Linked DNA regions of Tamandua tetradactyla. The protein of the gene in region 1 binds, or shares a complex with, the protein of each later gene. Links are inferred from orthologs where the notes say so. Each region holds a gene or a part of one and is shown in the gene's direction. Other genes may lie near its edges.

Region 1 (8,147 bases):
GGCCTAGGCTGGGCGAGGGCCGCCAAGGGCCGGGCGCGGGTCTGATCTGCAACGATGCCGCCAGACGGGGCTTCCTGCGGCCGCCGTCGTCCGTGCCCGCCGTGGGGGCGAGCGGGGCCCTTGAGGCCGCGCTGGCGGGCGACGCCATGGCTGTACGCAAGGACAGAAGGGCGCGGCCGGGCCCCCGCACCCAGGGAGCCCCGCGCGGCCCGGATCTCGCGCGGCCCTCTCCCTCTCTCGCGAGGGCGCGGCCGACTCCAGCGTGGGGAGCACGCGGCCGGCAGCGCACGGAGCCACCGCCCCCACCTGCCCGGCCAATGGGAAGGCCCGCCTGCCCTGTGGCCAAGGCCCGGATGCTGGACGTAGGCTGGGTGGGAGGGGGGGCACGGAGGAGGCTTCCGGTCCCACGTCCCACTTCCGGGGCGGGGCGCTCCCAGCAGCCTTTTCTCCGCCCCTGGGTGGTCCTGGTAGAGTCTGTGGGAGCCACAGGGATTAGGATCCCCCGAAACCTACCCCATTCCATCAGCCCTCCCGAGCTCCTTAACCTTGCTGAGCTGCGGTCCTTGTTTGATAAAAGAAAGCTGTCAAGATTGTAGCAGTCCCCACAATCGTTAGGATCTGAGCCGTAAGAGTGTTGATTATAGGCCTGCAAGAAGCCAACCACGAGAATCTCCAGCCAAAAGTTAGCCATTTGGTTAAAATTAAAATGGCACTCTGCTCACTCCTCACCCCTCCATCCCACCCCACACGCCCACTCTCCTGCACACCCCTGCTAACCCCAACATGGGATTTTTTTTTTTTCCAACATGGGATTTTGAGTTGACTTACAAAAATGTCACAGCTGGGAATGGCTTTGTAAAGAGAGGTGGTAGGGGTGAGGGGAAAATAAGGTGAAGTAAGGGATGAAGATCATTTATGTAAGACCTGGTAGGGCACAACATACATTTGCTTGAAGGGGGCTACGAATTTTAACTCTGAGTGGAAAAACATGGCCACTCAGTTAGCAGTGTCTGTAAGATGTGTGGTCTTTGTAGTTGCTGCTGCTGCTGCTGCTGCTGCTGCTGCTACTCGTTACCCTTGGACCTGGCAGTGCTAACCAAATTGTGGCCGTGTGGCTACTTTGGGTTATGAGGAGCAACTGGTGGAACAGAGACCATTTATCTTGGAAGGAGTAGGTGTGGGGGGCCAAGGTAGTTTCAACCTAGTCAAATGTTTCAAGGGTTGGCTTCAGAAGAATTCTGCTTTTTTGTGTTACCCAAATGGTGGAATTAGTCCTCATAGAGAGAATGGACGGGACAACAGGGTTTCAAAAATGGAATGGCTGCTGAATATATCCACAAAGGAACATGAACAGAGTCTTCATAATTGCCAAACCAGGAAACATCCCCAAAGTTCATTTACAAGAGAATGCATACACAAATTGTGGTGTATTTCCTACAATGGAATACTGCTCGATAATACAAAAGAAACTCCTGCTGCATACACATTATGGGTGACTCTTACAGAAATGTTGAGTGAAAGAAGCCAGACACAAAAGAGTATCCTCCACATGATTCCATTTATATGAAGTTCTTGAAGAGATCAGACTAGTCTATAGTGATGAAAGTCATAATAGTGATGACTTCCTGAAGGGGTAATGACTGGGAAGTGGCACCAGGAAAATTTTCTGGAGTGATCGAAATGTTTTCTATCTTGATCTGAGTGGTTGCTACACAGCTTTATGCATTTGTAGAAAATCCAAATGCAAATCCCCCCCAAAAAAATCCAAAAGCTACACCCTTAAAATTTGTGCACTTTACAACATGTAAAGTATATTTTAATAACAAAAAGAAAAGATAGCTTTGAAGATTGAAGGAGCCATGAACCAAGAAACATGGGCGGTTTTTCAAATCTGGAAAAGGCAAGAAAATGGATTCTTTGGAACCTTGTACCGGTCTGAATCAGTGGTGGACCCCAGAAAAGCCATGCCCTTTGATCCTCATTCAATATTGCTGGGTGGGAGCATTTTGATTGTTTCCATGAAGATGTGACCCACCCAATTGTGGGTGGTAACTTTTGATTAGATGATATCCATGGAGGTGTGTCTCCACCTACTGAAGGTGGAGTTGCTTGCTGGAATCCTTTAAAAGAGGAAACATTTTGGAGAGAGCCCCTTTTGATAGAGTTACGAGAAAGCCAGCAGAACCTGCCATGTTCGCCACGTGCCCTTCCAGCTGAGAGAGAAACGTTGAACGTTGTCGGCCTTCTTGAACCAAGGTATCTCTCTCCAGATGCCTTCAATTGGACATTTTATAAACTTGTTGTAACTGGGACATTTTCTCAGCCTTAGAACTGTGAACTAGCAACTTATTAAATACCCCTTGTTAAAAGCCATTCCGTTTCTGGTATGTTGCATCCCAGCAGCTAGCAAACCAGAACAAACCTCTTGTAGGAATGCAGTCCTATTTTCTTTTCTCTTTTGGGTGGTGGTGGCGCATGGGCTGGGAATTGAACTTGGCAAAAGAATTCTACTACCGAACCAATCATGTACCATTAATGCAGTCCTACTGACAGTTTGGTTTTATCCCAGTGAGATCCATTTTGGACTAGTAACTTCCAAAACTGTCAGATAATATATTAGTGTTGATTTAAGGCACGAAATTTGTGGTGATTTGCTACAACAGAAAAAACTCATATAAGTGCCTTCAAATATTTTGCTTACCTACTCCCTAAAATAATTTTGAAAAACTATACATGCCAAATTTTTAATCCCAAATTTAAATACAGAGGTGTAATTTCTGATTTATTATATATTATCATTGTCCTTTAAATATGTTTTCATCAATTTATGAAAAATACTCTCCATATGATCTAATTGGCAAAGCCAAGCAGATAAATCTCATAGTCAAATCAATCATTTAATTCAGATTTACTTCCTATCAGAAAGTCTGGTGTTAATTTCAATTTAAATAAATGTGTTGATATTTTCCCAGAAAAACCATCTCATTTCATTCTCTTTCACTGATTCAGTATTTATTGAGCCTCTACTCTATGCCAGGAACTTTCCTGGATGTTTGGGATACATCAGTGAATGGTCTGTCAATGAATGGAATCAGAGTTCCCAACCTTCTGAATTCTAGGCGTGTAGCCTGTTCTAGTTTGCTAGCTGCCAGAATGCAATCTACCAGAAACTGAATGGTTTTTAAAAAGGGGAATTTAATAAGTTGCAAATTTGCAGTTCTAAGGCTGAGAAGATGTCCCAATTAAAACAAGTCTATACAAATGTCCAATCTAAGGCATCCAGGGAAAGATACCTTGGTTCAAGAAGGCCAGTGAAGTTCAGGGTTTCTCTCTCAAGTGAGAAGGCACATGGCAAACACAGTCAGGGCTTTTCTCTCAGCTGGAAGGACACATGGTGAACATGTGTCATCTGTTAGCTTTCTCTCCTGGCTTCTGGTTTCATGAGCTCCCCAGGAGGTGTTTTCCTTCTTCATCTCCAAAGGTTACTGACTCATGGACTCTCTGCTTCATGGTGCTGCAGCATTCTCTGCTCTTTCTGAATCTCTTTCATTCTCCAAAATGTTTCCTCTTTTATAGGACTCCAGAAATTTATCAAGACCCACCCAAATGGGTGGAGACATGCCGTCACCTAATCCAGTTTAACAACCACTCTTGATTAAATCACATCTCCAGGGAGACCTGATTACAGTTTCAAACATACAGTATGAATAGGGATTATTCTGCCTTTATGAAATGGGATATAGATGGCATTTATGAAATGGCTTTTCTAGGGGACATGCATCCTTTCAAACCAGCACATAGCCTAATCAGATGTTCGAAGTCTTGATGAAATAAGATATCACAGCCAGCAGTATTTTTCTTTATTGAAGTATAATATACATGCAAAAAATGCATACATGTAAAAAAGTGACAGATCATTAGATGAATTTTCACACACTGAACACACCCACGTCACTAGATGAAGAAATAGAATTTTCAGTCCCCAGAATCCCCACAGCTGTACGCTTCCATCATTATTTCTCACACCCAGCTTTTCTTCATCTTCTGGGGGCTCCTGTAGGAGCGCTGCTTTGTGGAATCATCCCCTTGTTCAGCACCCATCCTGGGGCAATGCTCCATGGGTGGGAAAAGAACAACTATGAAAGGCCATACAGGAAAGGAGAACCACCCAACTCCAAGTTCCTCCCAGAGAACAAAACAAAACTATATAGATGGAAGTCAAGAATTTGGAAATGGTTTCTTTTAAAGCAATGGTTTTCAAAGTTGATCCCTGAATCAGCATCGTCAGCAGCCCACCCCCTCCACCCCCCCATCCCCTGCCCTCAGGGACTTCTTAAAAATCCCAGTCTTGGGCCATACTCCAGACCTCCCCAGTCAGAAATTCTGGGGGGTGAGCCTCAGCGCACTGTTTTAACAAATCCTCCAAGGGATTCTGGTGGACACTCAAGTTTGAGAGCTACTGGGTTTGAATTTATCACTGAGCAGTGTTCCTTAAAGCATGGTCCCCTGACAGGCATGTCAGGAGTGATGAACGCAAATTATCAGGTTGCACCCCACCCCTGCTGAATCAGAACCTGGTTTAAACCGCCCTCCAGGTGATGCTGATAGAGACCCACTGCCTGCAACTATACCTGAATAACTTCCCCTGGAAAATCCCCAGGTACTCCAGGGAGCCAGCTTGTTAGGGTTCAAGGACAATCAGTGGGCTACCCACTGGCTAACCCAGGAGCATTTTCTGAGTGGCGCTCAGTAAATGCCTGCTGAATGAATTAATTGAAACGCAAATCAACCCTAACAAGCAGGAAGGAAGTTGGTCAAGCAAAGTGGGGATTCAAACCACGTCCACCTGGCTTTCACATTCCCTCCCCTGTCCGGGAGGGGGCGCGCGAGGACGCTAGGGAGCCCGAGCTGGGAGGCGGGACTTCCTATCGCCGATGGGGCACTTCCGGCCAGACCCGGAAAACTGTTCGTTCGCAACGTGGGTGGGTGTTGACCCCGGCGGTTCGCTGAAGGTAGTGTGGCGGCTTTAGGGCTCTCTCCCGCGTGGAGGGACAGAAGAGCGTCGCGCGGGCTCCCATTTCTCTGACTAGCACCCCGGAAGCCCGGATTACGTAAGTGCGCGGGCCACTCGAACGGGAGGAGAGAGCGCTGCCAGCCGGGCGGCGAGGCGGTCCTGGTCCGAGAGGGGAGCTCGGTTTACTTCCGCGCGGGTCCGCAGGCCCCAAGTGGTGTGGCTTTGGGACGAATTATTTAACATCTGCAAAGTGGGTTATTAGTAGCCTCTGGCTGACGATTCCACAAATGTGAAACGGGGTAGCGGCTGTCTGCACGCTTCCCTGAGGAGCACACAAAGGACTCAAAATCTGAAGGACAGGTAGGATATTGTGAGGCTCCTGGAGGGAATGGATACGGGCTCATCCGAAGCAGAGGGGCAGTGTGCAAATGTCCTGTGGTGAGAAGAAACATAGTGAGGAGGACCCCAAGGAGGTCAGCGTGATTGGGATCCACGGAACAGGGAGATGAGCTGCAGGTGTTTTTGTGTCTGCTGGTTTATTGAGGTGGCGGCTGTCGGGAGGAAGCTTGGTGCACCTGAAATGCAGGTGTGATAGCCTCTTATGGAAGCTAGTGACTTTTCACAAAGATTCACTGAGCACCAGCGGGACCCCCGACACTATCCTCTTCTATTGTGCAAAAGAAATTAATAGTAGCAGCCAGACCCCAGGAACTTAAGAATGAATCAGTTACAATCTTTGCCCTCAGAGAGCTCACAGTCTGGTGGAGGAGACAGGATATACATGAAAACTATGATTACAGTGAGGTTGATGGGTGCCCCAAGAGACTCACTGAATCACTCGACCCTCATTGTGCCATTAGCATAACGGGTGGTGCTGAAAACACGTGGACGTGCAGAGCTACAGCATAAACTGGTAAAGTGCATCACAAGGGAGAAGATTTTTACCTCCTAAGACTATGATACTACTCATTGTTTGGTCTTGGGTGCACAGGTGTGTTGTGGTCCAGTACACGGGCTTTGAATTGGATGAGGGGGTGGGGGCTGAGGTCTTGGGTCTGGCACTTATAAGCTGTTGACTTTGGGCAAGTTGCCATTTACCAAGCCTCAGTCTTCTCAACTCCAGAATAGGCATATCTGGAAGAAGAGGAAAGCATGTAGCACCATGTCTGGCAGCCCATGGCACTCAGTGAGTGCTGCTGTTATTTTTGTGTTTAATTTTAAAAGGGAGATGGCTGCCTGTACTTTTAGAATACTTTGTATTTCCCAAAACCCCCACATTAATAAAAATAAACTTTTATTCAACACACACTTTCTGGGAAGTGCATTTTCTGGGAGGCACTGTGCTTGACAGGGGGAAGACGGATAAGCACAACTCAGTCCCTGGCTTTGGGGGAACTTGAGTCCAGCCTTGGGAGTTAGATTACAAAAGTAGAGTGATAATACAGGGTGTTAAGAACTGTGATAGAAACTGAGCCATCACCATTTGTCTGACTTTCCCTTCCACTCTCCGTGTTCACTCTGTGGCTTCCTGTTTGTTTCCCAAACATGCAAGCACTTTCCTGCCCCAGGACTTTTGTACTAGCTCTTCATTCTGTCTGGAATCCTGTTCCCAGTTGTCTGCATTATTCTCTCCCCCATTAGATGCCATCTCTGCTCAAATGCCATGTACTCAACAAGACTTTCCCTGGCCAGTCACTGACCCCTTCTTGTGGTTGTTTGGTTGTTATGTTTTAATATAGAACTTTTTGTTACTTTCCATTAGACTTATATAGTCATATCTTTTTCAGTATGTTTTTCACCAAGGAAAGTAGATTCCTCTTCGGGCACTTTTTACTCTCCCTAGAAACTCTGGAGACCGTGATCAGATTCAAGTCTCTTGGGAAGGCCAGGGTAAAGTTTGGTTCTTGTTTTCCAGAATGGACTTCCCCAGCTCCCTCCGCCCCACCTTGTTTACAACGGGCCCCCTTGGACTGAGCAGTGTCCCCGACCTGTCTTTTATGTGCAGCTGGAGAGATGCACTGACCCTGCCACTGTCCCAGCCCCAGAACTCAGAGGTGAGGAGGGTAGGAAGGGGCCCTGAGAACTCCAGAATGAGCCGTTGAATTGAGTCCCCTTTCCTAGCACACCAGTTGGCAAGGGCCTAGGGTGGGCGGTGGTAGCCCAAACCCATGAAGACACAGGCTGAGCCAGAGCCCGCCCTGTCAAGGTATGTGGGAAGCCCTTGTCCATGGACGGCTTACCTGGTGAGAGCTGGGGTTCATTCTGTCCTGCCTCCCTGTCCGAGTCCTTCATTTGTTCATATTGAACAGTCCTGACCGTGTCCTGACATCTTACCAGGTACTAGGAAAACTGGCAGTGAGTCAGATCATAATCCCTGCCCTCACAGAACTCATGGTCGAGCAGGAGTAAACAAGCAAACATATCAGTGAATGAAATAATTTCAAATTGTGATAGCTTTGAGTTTGAAGCAAAGGGACAGAAACGGGGTGTAGTAGGGACGACGCTGGGAGTAAAAACCACAGCCTGCCTGTAGGCTGCCTGGGTTCCAATGCCAGCTCCTCTCCTTATTGGCTCTGTGACCTGCAGCAAGAGACTTAACCTCCCTGTGCCTTAGTTTCCTCCTTGGTAAAGTGGCAATTACAGTTGTACCACCCTTGGAGGGTGATTGTGTGAATTGAATTGAGCATGTAAAAGTGGAGCGCTTGTTGTCGTGGTTGTGGTTTTCTTGCAGAATGTGGCACTGCCCTCAGCCAAGGGCCTGTGGTGGGAGCCAGAGACCCCTGGACCCCTCCCCTTGCTGCCTCCTAGTCCTGGTAAGGCTCCCCTTCCTCTGGTCGGCTCCCAGGCTGCCCCACCTGTCACTCCTCTCCCCAGCCCTCTGTCCCCTGAAGCCTTCCCTCACCCTCCTGATGCTTTCTGCTCCCCTGGGGTCCCTGGATCCCTCCAGTCACCTGGGACACCTGGCCCCACTTCTGTCCCCATCCCAGTCCCCAGGATAAACCCTTCTCCCTAACCTCACTCTTCCCTCAGAGCCCTGGGACCCTGGGCTCACTGCCCAGGATCTGCTTTTCCGAGAAGGTCGCCATTTCCGGAGACAGCCCCGAGCCACGCTGGATGTTACTGAGCAGGTGGG
Region 2 (7,872 bases), on another chromosome or scaffold:
TGTAAGCTCCATGAGGCCAAGGAGTATTTATTTGCTGACCCCATATCCTGAATGCCTGGCACAGGGTCTTGTACTTGGATGTTCAACAAATATTTGTTGAATAGACAATTATAGATATTGGCTACTCTTCGAATGAAAGGCTATAGGCAAAGATAAAACTAAGGTTAGGTAGTCCCTACCAACCAAAGACAGATTAGAAACACAGATAAAGCTAATTTCTAGTATCATGCTGTTTTGATTTGCTAAAGCTGCAAGAATGCAATATATCAGAGATGGGCTGGCTTTTTCAAAGGGTACTTATTAGGTTACAAATGTACAGTTCTAGGGCATGAAAATGTCCAGATTAAGGCACTGAGAGGAAGATACCTTTTCTAAGGAAAGGCTGCTGGCCTCTGGGGTTCCTCTGTCACATGTGAAGGCCCAGGGCGACATTTGCTGTTCCTCTCCAAAATGTCTCTGGGCTTCTGTGGGTCCTTGCTTGTTTCTCTCATGGCATTTATCTCTCTTTAAACGTCTCTGGGCTCTCTCAGCTTTTATGTCTTTTCATCCTTTTACAAAATACTCCAGTAAAGAGGATTAAGAACCCATTTAATTGGGTAGGTCACATCTCCATGGAAACAACCTAATTAAAAGGTCCCACCCACAATAGGTCTGCATCAACAAGAATGGATTAGAAGAACATGGCTTTTCTAGGGTACATAACAGTTTCAAACCAGCACACATGCCAATAAAACAATAGAACATACTTTATTGATTCACAGTTTCAGTCAGATACATTTGCCTGCTGAGGAATTTGGGGGAAATTAAGGTACTTCTCTCTGTGGCATTCTTCTGGTAAAAATATGAAAATCATGTTCCAAATAGGAATTATATAGCATAAGAAACTCATGTATCACTGCCATTGTGTTCCAGAAGAATAAGATGGGAAATCATTTATTTACCAATGTTCCACCAAGAATATTAGAGGCAGAAATGGAAATTTTTTAAGTATATACAATACATGTTTGGTATATTATGCTTTACTTTTTTTCCTTTTAGTGTTTCAAATGTGTCTTGTATCTTCAACTGGACTAAAATTTTAGTACCAGGGGACATTTGGCAATGTCCAGATTTATTTTTGCTGCTACTATGGTGGGGTGGGATAGGAAATGCTACTGTGGAGGTCATGGTTGCTGCTAAATATCCTATTATTCCCCTACCCTACTCTCAACAGATAATTATCAGGCCCAAAATATTAGTAGTGCTGAGGTTGATACACTGAGCTTTATGCTTACTTCTCTATAATACTGATAAATAAGAAATGGCATAAATGCACACACATCTATCAATCAATTTATCTGACTAAAGATTTACAATTGGGAACGTGCATTTTTATTAACAAATGGAGTTCTCATAAAAGTAATTGACTCGCTAAGTGATGATATTGTGAAGTACTGATTATCTATGTTAATTTTTATTTCATTTGTTAATTTTTTAATTAATAAATAAATTTTTTAAAAAATAATAATTGACTCAAAGTAACTGTTGACTCTTTTTGGAAAGGGAAAAGGAACAAATAAGATATACACTATTGGGTTTCCTATTCAGAATTGTCCATGTGGATCCTCCCTACCGCTCTGCCATTTGAAAAACATTTGTCGAGTATTTATAGTAGCCATCTCATCCATAGCAAAGGTTCATTGGAAGTCATTTGGTACAACATCACCTCCCCACTCTAGCCAGTATTGATACAAGCTTGTCCAATGAAAAGTTATTTTCTGGTGCATTAAGATATCCTTGTATACTTAGGAAAAAAATTCCCTTTCTGTGTAAGCTAGGTCAAGTTAGTTTCTATTACTTGCAAGCCAAAAGGCTTTAAGCAATTGAACTACCTCCTATTGTTCTAGGGATGATAGAAAAATTCATCTCTAAGGAAAGACTGCTCTTTTGAAAGAAAAGTTTAATGGGCCATCTGGGTATATGAAAGTAAAGGAAAAATTCATTTTGGAATGAAGAAGTTTAGAACAATTAGAAATAACTATAAAGGATAGTGTTGTAAAAGGATGACTTCACCATGGGTGAGGCTGCATCTTTTCAAGGTAGTATATTAACACCTTCTTTGGAGATGGATGCTTTATTTTCTTGGATTAGAGCTGGAAATACTTGAAGTTGGGGCTCTGGGGAAGGCAAGACTAGATGAAGGGGGCTTTTAACTCAGAAACACAAGTGGGCCCATGTAACAGGATGAACTAGAGGATCTCCAATGAAAGGGCATGAGAAAATAACTCAAGTAGTGAATTATGCTATTTGATTTTAAGTTTTCTCTTGTATTATTCTTAGGCTTCCATTTCAATTGTTTAAAATCATGGTAGCTTGGTTTTAGGTGTGCTATGGAAATAAGGAAGGACCTGTGCTCAAGCTTAAGGTGAGTATATTGCTGAGAGGGTATATTGGTACAATCACTTCAGAAAGCTCTTTAACCATCTGTTGTATAGCTATCAAGGCAACAATTTTACCCTAGAAAAATGTGCATATGGCATCAGTAGACTACACAAGAATATTCATAGCAGCAATGAAATAATGATGCAAATAAAAAAGAATGGAAACAATGTAAATGTCTAGAATGGATAAATAAATCCTACTTTATTCCTGTGATGGAATTATATCAGAGAAAACAAATAAATCACAACTACATACAAGAGAGATGGATTTCAGAGGGATAATGAATGAAAAAGAAAGCAGCTTTTATAAAATTCAAAGAAAAGCAAAAGTAAACAGTATCTGCTTAGAGAGAAATTAAATATGGTAATTACATAAAGAAAAGTTAGAACATTTTTGAAAATCAGGACAGTATGCAGAATATATTTTTAAGAACTTCTACAAAACACCAGTAAAACACACCAAAAATTCAATGGAAAAATGGGCAAAAGATTTAAATAGACATTTCATTAAAGAACATAAATGCCAAATAAGCACATGAAAAGATGCTCAACATCATTAGCCATTAGGGAAATGAAAATCAAAACCACAGTGAGATACCACTTCATACCCATTAGGGTGACTATTATAAAAAACAAACAAAAATAACAAGTATTTGTGAGGATGCTCAGAAATAGGAACACTTTTGCACTGTTGGTGGAAATGTAAAATGGCACAGTCACAGTGGAAAACAGTTTGGTGGTTCCTCAAAAAAATTAAAAATAGAATTGCCATATGACTGAATAATCCTACTTCTAGGTTTATTACCTCCAAGAATTAAAAACAGGGACTTGAATAGATATTTATGCACCAGTGTTCACAGCAGTGTTATTCACAATAGCCAAAAGGTGGAAATGACCCAAGCATCCCACAGATGAATGGATAATATGTGCTGTGTGTGTATAAATATATACAGACACACAAAGGAATATTTTCCAGCAGTAAAAAGTAATGTAATTCAGATACACTATAACATGGAAGCACCTTGAAACATTATGCTAAGTGAAATAAGCTAGACACTTATATGAAACACCTAGAATAAGCAAATTCATAAAGATAAAGTATATTACAGGTTATCAGGGGCTGTGGAGAGGAGGGAGAGAAATTACAGCTTAATGGGTTCAGGTTCTGTTTGGTGTGCTGAAAAAGTTCCGGTAATGCTTGGTGCTGATGGTAACAGAGAATCACTGTATGGTACACGTGAAAGTAGTTAATATAAGAAGTTTTGTTATAAATCTTACAATAAAAATTTAAAAAATGTATCAGGATAGTGAAACCTTTGAGAGGAAATCAGGGAGAAGGTGTGATTATGTTTTATATACATTAGAACGTTATCATATACTATTTTGTACATACCAAGTTTTTAAATGAAAGAATACAGTAATTACCAAATTGCTTGACAGTCCACAAGTTGCAGGTCTATTGACTGTGTATGAGAGCCCTAACGAATTGTGATTTTTTAAAATTTTGTTTTTGCTTGGGGGAGAGGGAAAGATATTCCCATTTAAACAGCTGTCTTGAAGATAAAGCGGAATTATTTCCTCTGCTCTAGGGACGTTGATGATTTCTGCCCAACATTCCCCATGAACGCTAAAGCAGTGAGGGAATATATGGTGGTGGGACCGAATGAGGACAACAGAGTTACTATTTAACACTGTTGTAAAACAGAACTGTGCTTTAAATTTAAAATGTACGCTGTAGCTGGTTTTATGTACTCTTGATAGTTGTGTATAGTTTCTAAGTGTAACATTTTTCCCCTCTTAGAAACTGCGGGGAGGAGAGGTCTATTCTGCCCCGCCCCTCTCCCCATGGCTTGGCACCTACGGTTCCCAGTGACTGGAAGACGCTTTACTGCATCCTTGGTGTGGCTGACTCCCAGCCCTCCGGTTCAAAAGTTAACGCCCCTAGGAAACTGTCCCCTCTCTCCTCTGATTTCTCACTTCAACATCCACACTTACAGCTCTGAAACTTTTACGGAAGTCACTTCGTCAAGTTCTATTTTCCTTGAGGATAAGATTATCTTGGGTGTCTGTGACGATAGTGAGTATAGAGCCCATGCTCCTGGGGTCAGGCAACTTCGTTCGAATCCCCAGCCCGCCCCTTTTCTATGCGTTAATCATCGGCTAAACTCAGTTTCCTCATTTCTCTTCAATTATAATAGTGGTAAAAAGCCCTGAGGAATACTCTGACTCCAAAAGTTAACACTCAGAGGAACCCAGCAGCTGCTGAACCCTGTCGTGGGATCTTCAAGACTGGACGGAATGCAGCTTTTCATACCTCCCTTCTCCCGGTGGTAGGAGGCCGCACTTTGCACGCTCTGCCAACCCGGGCGGTGAAAGTCCTCCGAGTGGTAGGAGGGGCCTGGTGGGGGCGAGAGGAGAAAGCTTTGGCGGCACTCTAGCCCGCTGAACGCTCTACGCTCTCTCCAAGTGGGTTCTCTGTTGGGCTGAGAAAGAAAGGCCGCCACTTGCCCGCCCGACTTCCGGGCCAGAGACGGTGGCTGCAGGGAGGACGATTTCCGGCGCGAGGCGCAGCAGTCGCGCTAGTCTGGCCCAATGGCGGCCCCGCTGCTTCACACGCGGTTTCCAGGGGATTCGGCCGGTTCGGCCTCTTCTGTCAAGGCACTGGGGTCGTCCAAGACTGGGTAAGAAAGAGTCTGGGCCTTTTTATGTTACGCATCTGGGATCAAAACCCAGGGTTGGAACAGCGGATCTGAAAAAGGTCTGGGACAATGATGAAGAGGAATGGAAGTAAGGGTAGAGTTGTCCCGCGTTCTTAAAAATGAGCCTCTTCTCATTTTTAATGGAGTTGAGAGGGGCACTGGAAAACGAGCTCATTTTCTGTATCAGAGACCCCCTTATGCTCCCGCTGGGCTCCTTCATAGCGTTTCGGGCCTAGATAATGACGTTCATTCCTTTTACTCTTTCCTCCCGGTTTCTCGTCTAGATTTGAAAGGAATTCCCTGGGCTGTTTGTTCTATCAGCCAAATGCTGTCACTGATGGCAGATTGAATCTGAAATTCTTGTTTGTTTGGAATTTGACCTAACATTTTAATAATTTTTTTCCTTGCGCTTAACTTTTAAGACTCTTTTCCCCCCTTAAAACATTTTAACAAGTCATTAGTAGGATGCTATGATTTTCCACTAAGCTACTTTGTTTAAGTGAGGCAAACCTTACTTAGCATAACACCATTCACTATATTTATTGACTGCCTACGTACTGTCTTTTCTTATTGTGTTAAACGGTAAGACAGGAGTCTCTCACAAAAAGCAAGGTCTGTCCCTGTGCTCAAGGAGCTTACAGTCTAGGGGAGAAGTATAGTAAATAGGCCAATAAATCAATAAACAGGATGATTTCAAATAGTGGTAAGTATTGCAAAGGGGGAACAGAGAAGGTGGTCAGGTGAGGAAGGCTTCTGAATTGACATTTGAGCTGTGACTTGAATGAAGATAAGATTCCAGCCATGTCAAGACCAGAGAAAAGTGTGCTTCTGATAGAGGGAATGGCAAGTGAAATGAGGAACAGCTTGACAGGTTTGAATAACAGCAGGGACACTATGTCTACATTAGCACAAGTGGTTGGAGATGAGATCAGAGGGTTGGCAGGGGTCAGAGCAATGCAGGACCTTGAAGACAATTTTAAGGCAATGATCTTTTAAAAGGTCTTCTAAAATGATCTTTTAAAACATTATTTGGCTGAGGGAAGAATGAATTATTGGAGGACAAGAATGGAAGCCAGTTAGGAAGCTTTTGCAGTCATCCCATTGAATGATGTTGATTGTTTGGTTCAGTAGATATATTCTCTGTCATGCACTTACTAGCTTGATAATCTTGGTTCTACAGAATTTCAGATATGCTTGTACTAGAGAATGATTTCTTCAATTCTCCCCCAAGAAAAGCTGTTCGTTTTGGTGGAACTGTAACAGAAGTCTTACTGAAGTACAAGAAGGTAAAAGAGGAAATAACATGTGATGATTGTTTTTTTTATTGTTCAGAATACAACCATAGATGCTATCCTAAAGACCAGTAGACATGGTTTAAAATGAATTTTAGATATTGGGCTTGAAATACTCAATAAGAGCATGATGCTGTCAGCTCAAAATTGGGGTAATAAGTCTTTGCTGAGGTTTCACCTTTTCAAATGCTTTATTTATACCAGATCTTTCGAAAACTTTAGCAGGTGATAAAATAGAAAACATTACAGCAGAACGTTTTATGTTTCCTCAGAAATTATCTAAGGATAATATGTGAGGACATTAAACCACCTCTGTTGATGCGAGTTTTTGATTGTTCTTTAGTGTTAGTTTACAAATGATGCTATTAAATCTCAGAAGTGGGGGGAAAATATAAATGATTTTCCATATATATAAAATGTACATTTATAGCTATGTATGTGAATGGGTAACATCTTAGTTGCTCTTTAAATCATTACAGTGAATTTTTTTCATATATGCTTTGAAAATCATTAGACTGTCAACTTGTGCAAATGTCAGTACACAGATATATACGTAACTAGTTATGAATGGCTTTTTGGTTGTCATTTTTTTATTTTCAGTCACCTTGGCCCCATTAACGTGGGTTTTTAACTTTTTATAGTTACGATTTTGTAATATACCTTTTCGTAAAAGTTACAGTGTTCCCATTGTAATTTCATCAGATGTTAAGGGATAATTAAAAGTCCTGCTGTTGAACTTTTATAGGAAACTAAATCAAGCTTAACTTCTTTTTTTTCCCTTCTTGTAAAAGGGTGAAACTACTGACTTTGAGTTGTTGAAGAATCAGCTGTCAGATCCAGACATAAAGGTAACTAATTTTGTGTTTGGTCATTAGCAAATATCACTGTTTTGTATAGGCATTGATTTGCACTTTGGGTTCTGTTCCATCCTCTTGAACTGGCTTTCTTCAGGATACCTTCTCATTTTAATGCATGGTTCTCAGCCAGGGGCATTTTTGCCCCCAAGGAGACATTTCATAATGCCTGAAAACATTTCATTTGTCACAACATGGTGGGAGAAGAAGGTGGAAAGTGCTACTGGCATTCATGGGTGGTTGGATGACAAAGATGCTGCCAAACATCCTACTGTGCTTTATTTTCTTCCTTTCTAACACCTTGTTCTAGTTTGCTAGATTCCGGAATGCGATATACCAGAAACAGAATGGCTTTTAAAAAGGGGAATTTAATAAGTTGCTAGTTTACAGTTCTAAGGCCGAGAAAATGTCCCAGTTGAAACAAGTCTATAGAAATGTCCAATCAAAGGCATCCAGGGAAAGATACCTTGGTTCAAGATGAAGTTCAGGGTCTCTCTCTCAAGTGAGAAGACACATGGTGAACACAGTCATGGCTTCTCTCTCAGGTGGAAGGGCACATGGTGAACACGGCATCATCTGCTAGTTTTCTCTCCTGGCTTCCGGTTTC

What was found.
Region 2: TAF1C (region 1) and RRN3 share a complex: the UniProt entries of both Homo sapiens proteins name them as parts of the pol I pre-initiation complex. The link is inferred for Tamandua tetradactyla from reciprocal best matches to the Homo sapiens genes TAF1C and RRN3.

Annotation. Positions count from the first base shown.
Region 1 is NC_135342.1:78,858,588-78,866,734, reverse strand, and holds the start of TAF1C (TATA box-binding protein-associated factor RNA polymerase I subunit C), read left to right. Parts: upstream 1-4,956; 5' UTR 4,957-5,111; intron 5,112-5,117; exon of another isoform or gene 5,118-5,374; intron 5,375-6,929; 5' UTR 6,930-6,930; coding exon 6,931-7,068; intron 7,069-7,745; coding exon 7,746-7,827; intron 7,828-8,044; coding exon 8,045-8,142; intron 8,143-8,147. Other genes in the region: ADAD2 (adenosine deaminase domain-containing protein 2), read right to left, coding at 1-148. UniProt on the Homo sapiens protein: Component of the transcription factor SL1/TIF-IB complex, which is involved in the assembly of the PIC (pre-initiation complex) during RNA polymerase I-dependent transcription.
Region 2 is NC_135349.1:37,314,997-37,322,868, forward strand, and holds the start of RRN3 (RNA polymerase I-specific transcription initiation factor RRN3), read left to right. Parts: upstream 1-4,848; 5' UTR 4,849-5,012; coding exon 5,013-5,101; intron 5,102-6,299; coding exon 6,300-6,405; intron 6,406-7,202; coding exon 7,203-7,259; intron 7,260-7,872. UniProt on the Homo sapiens protein: Required for efficient transcription initiation by RNA polymerase I (Pol I). Required for the formation of the competent pre-initiation complex (PIC).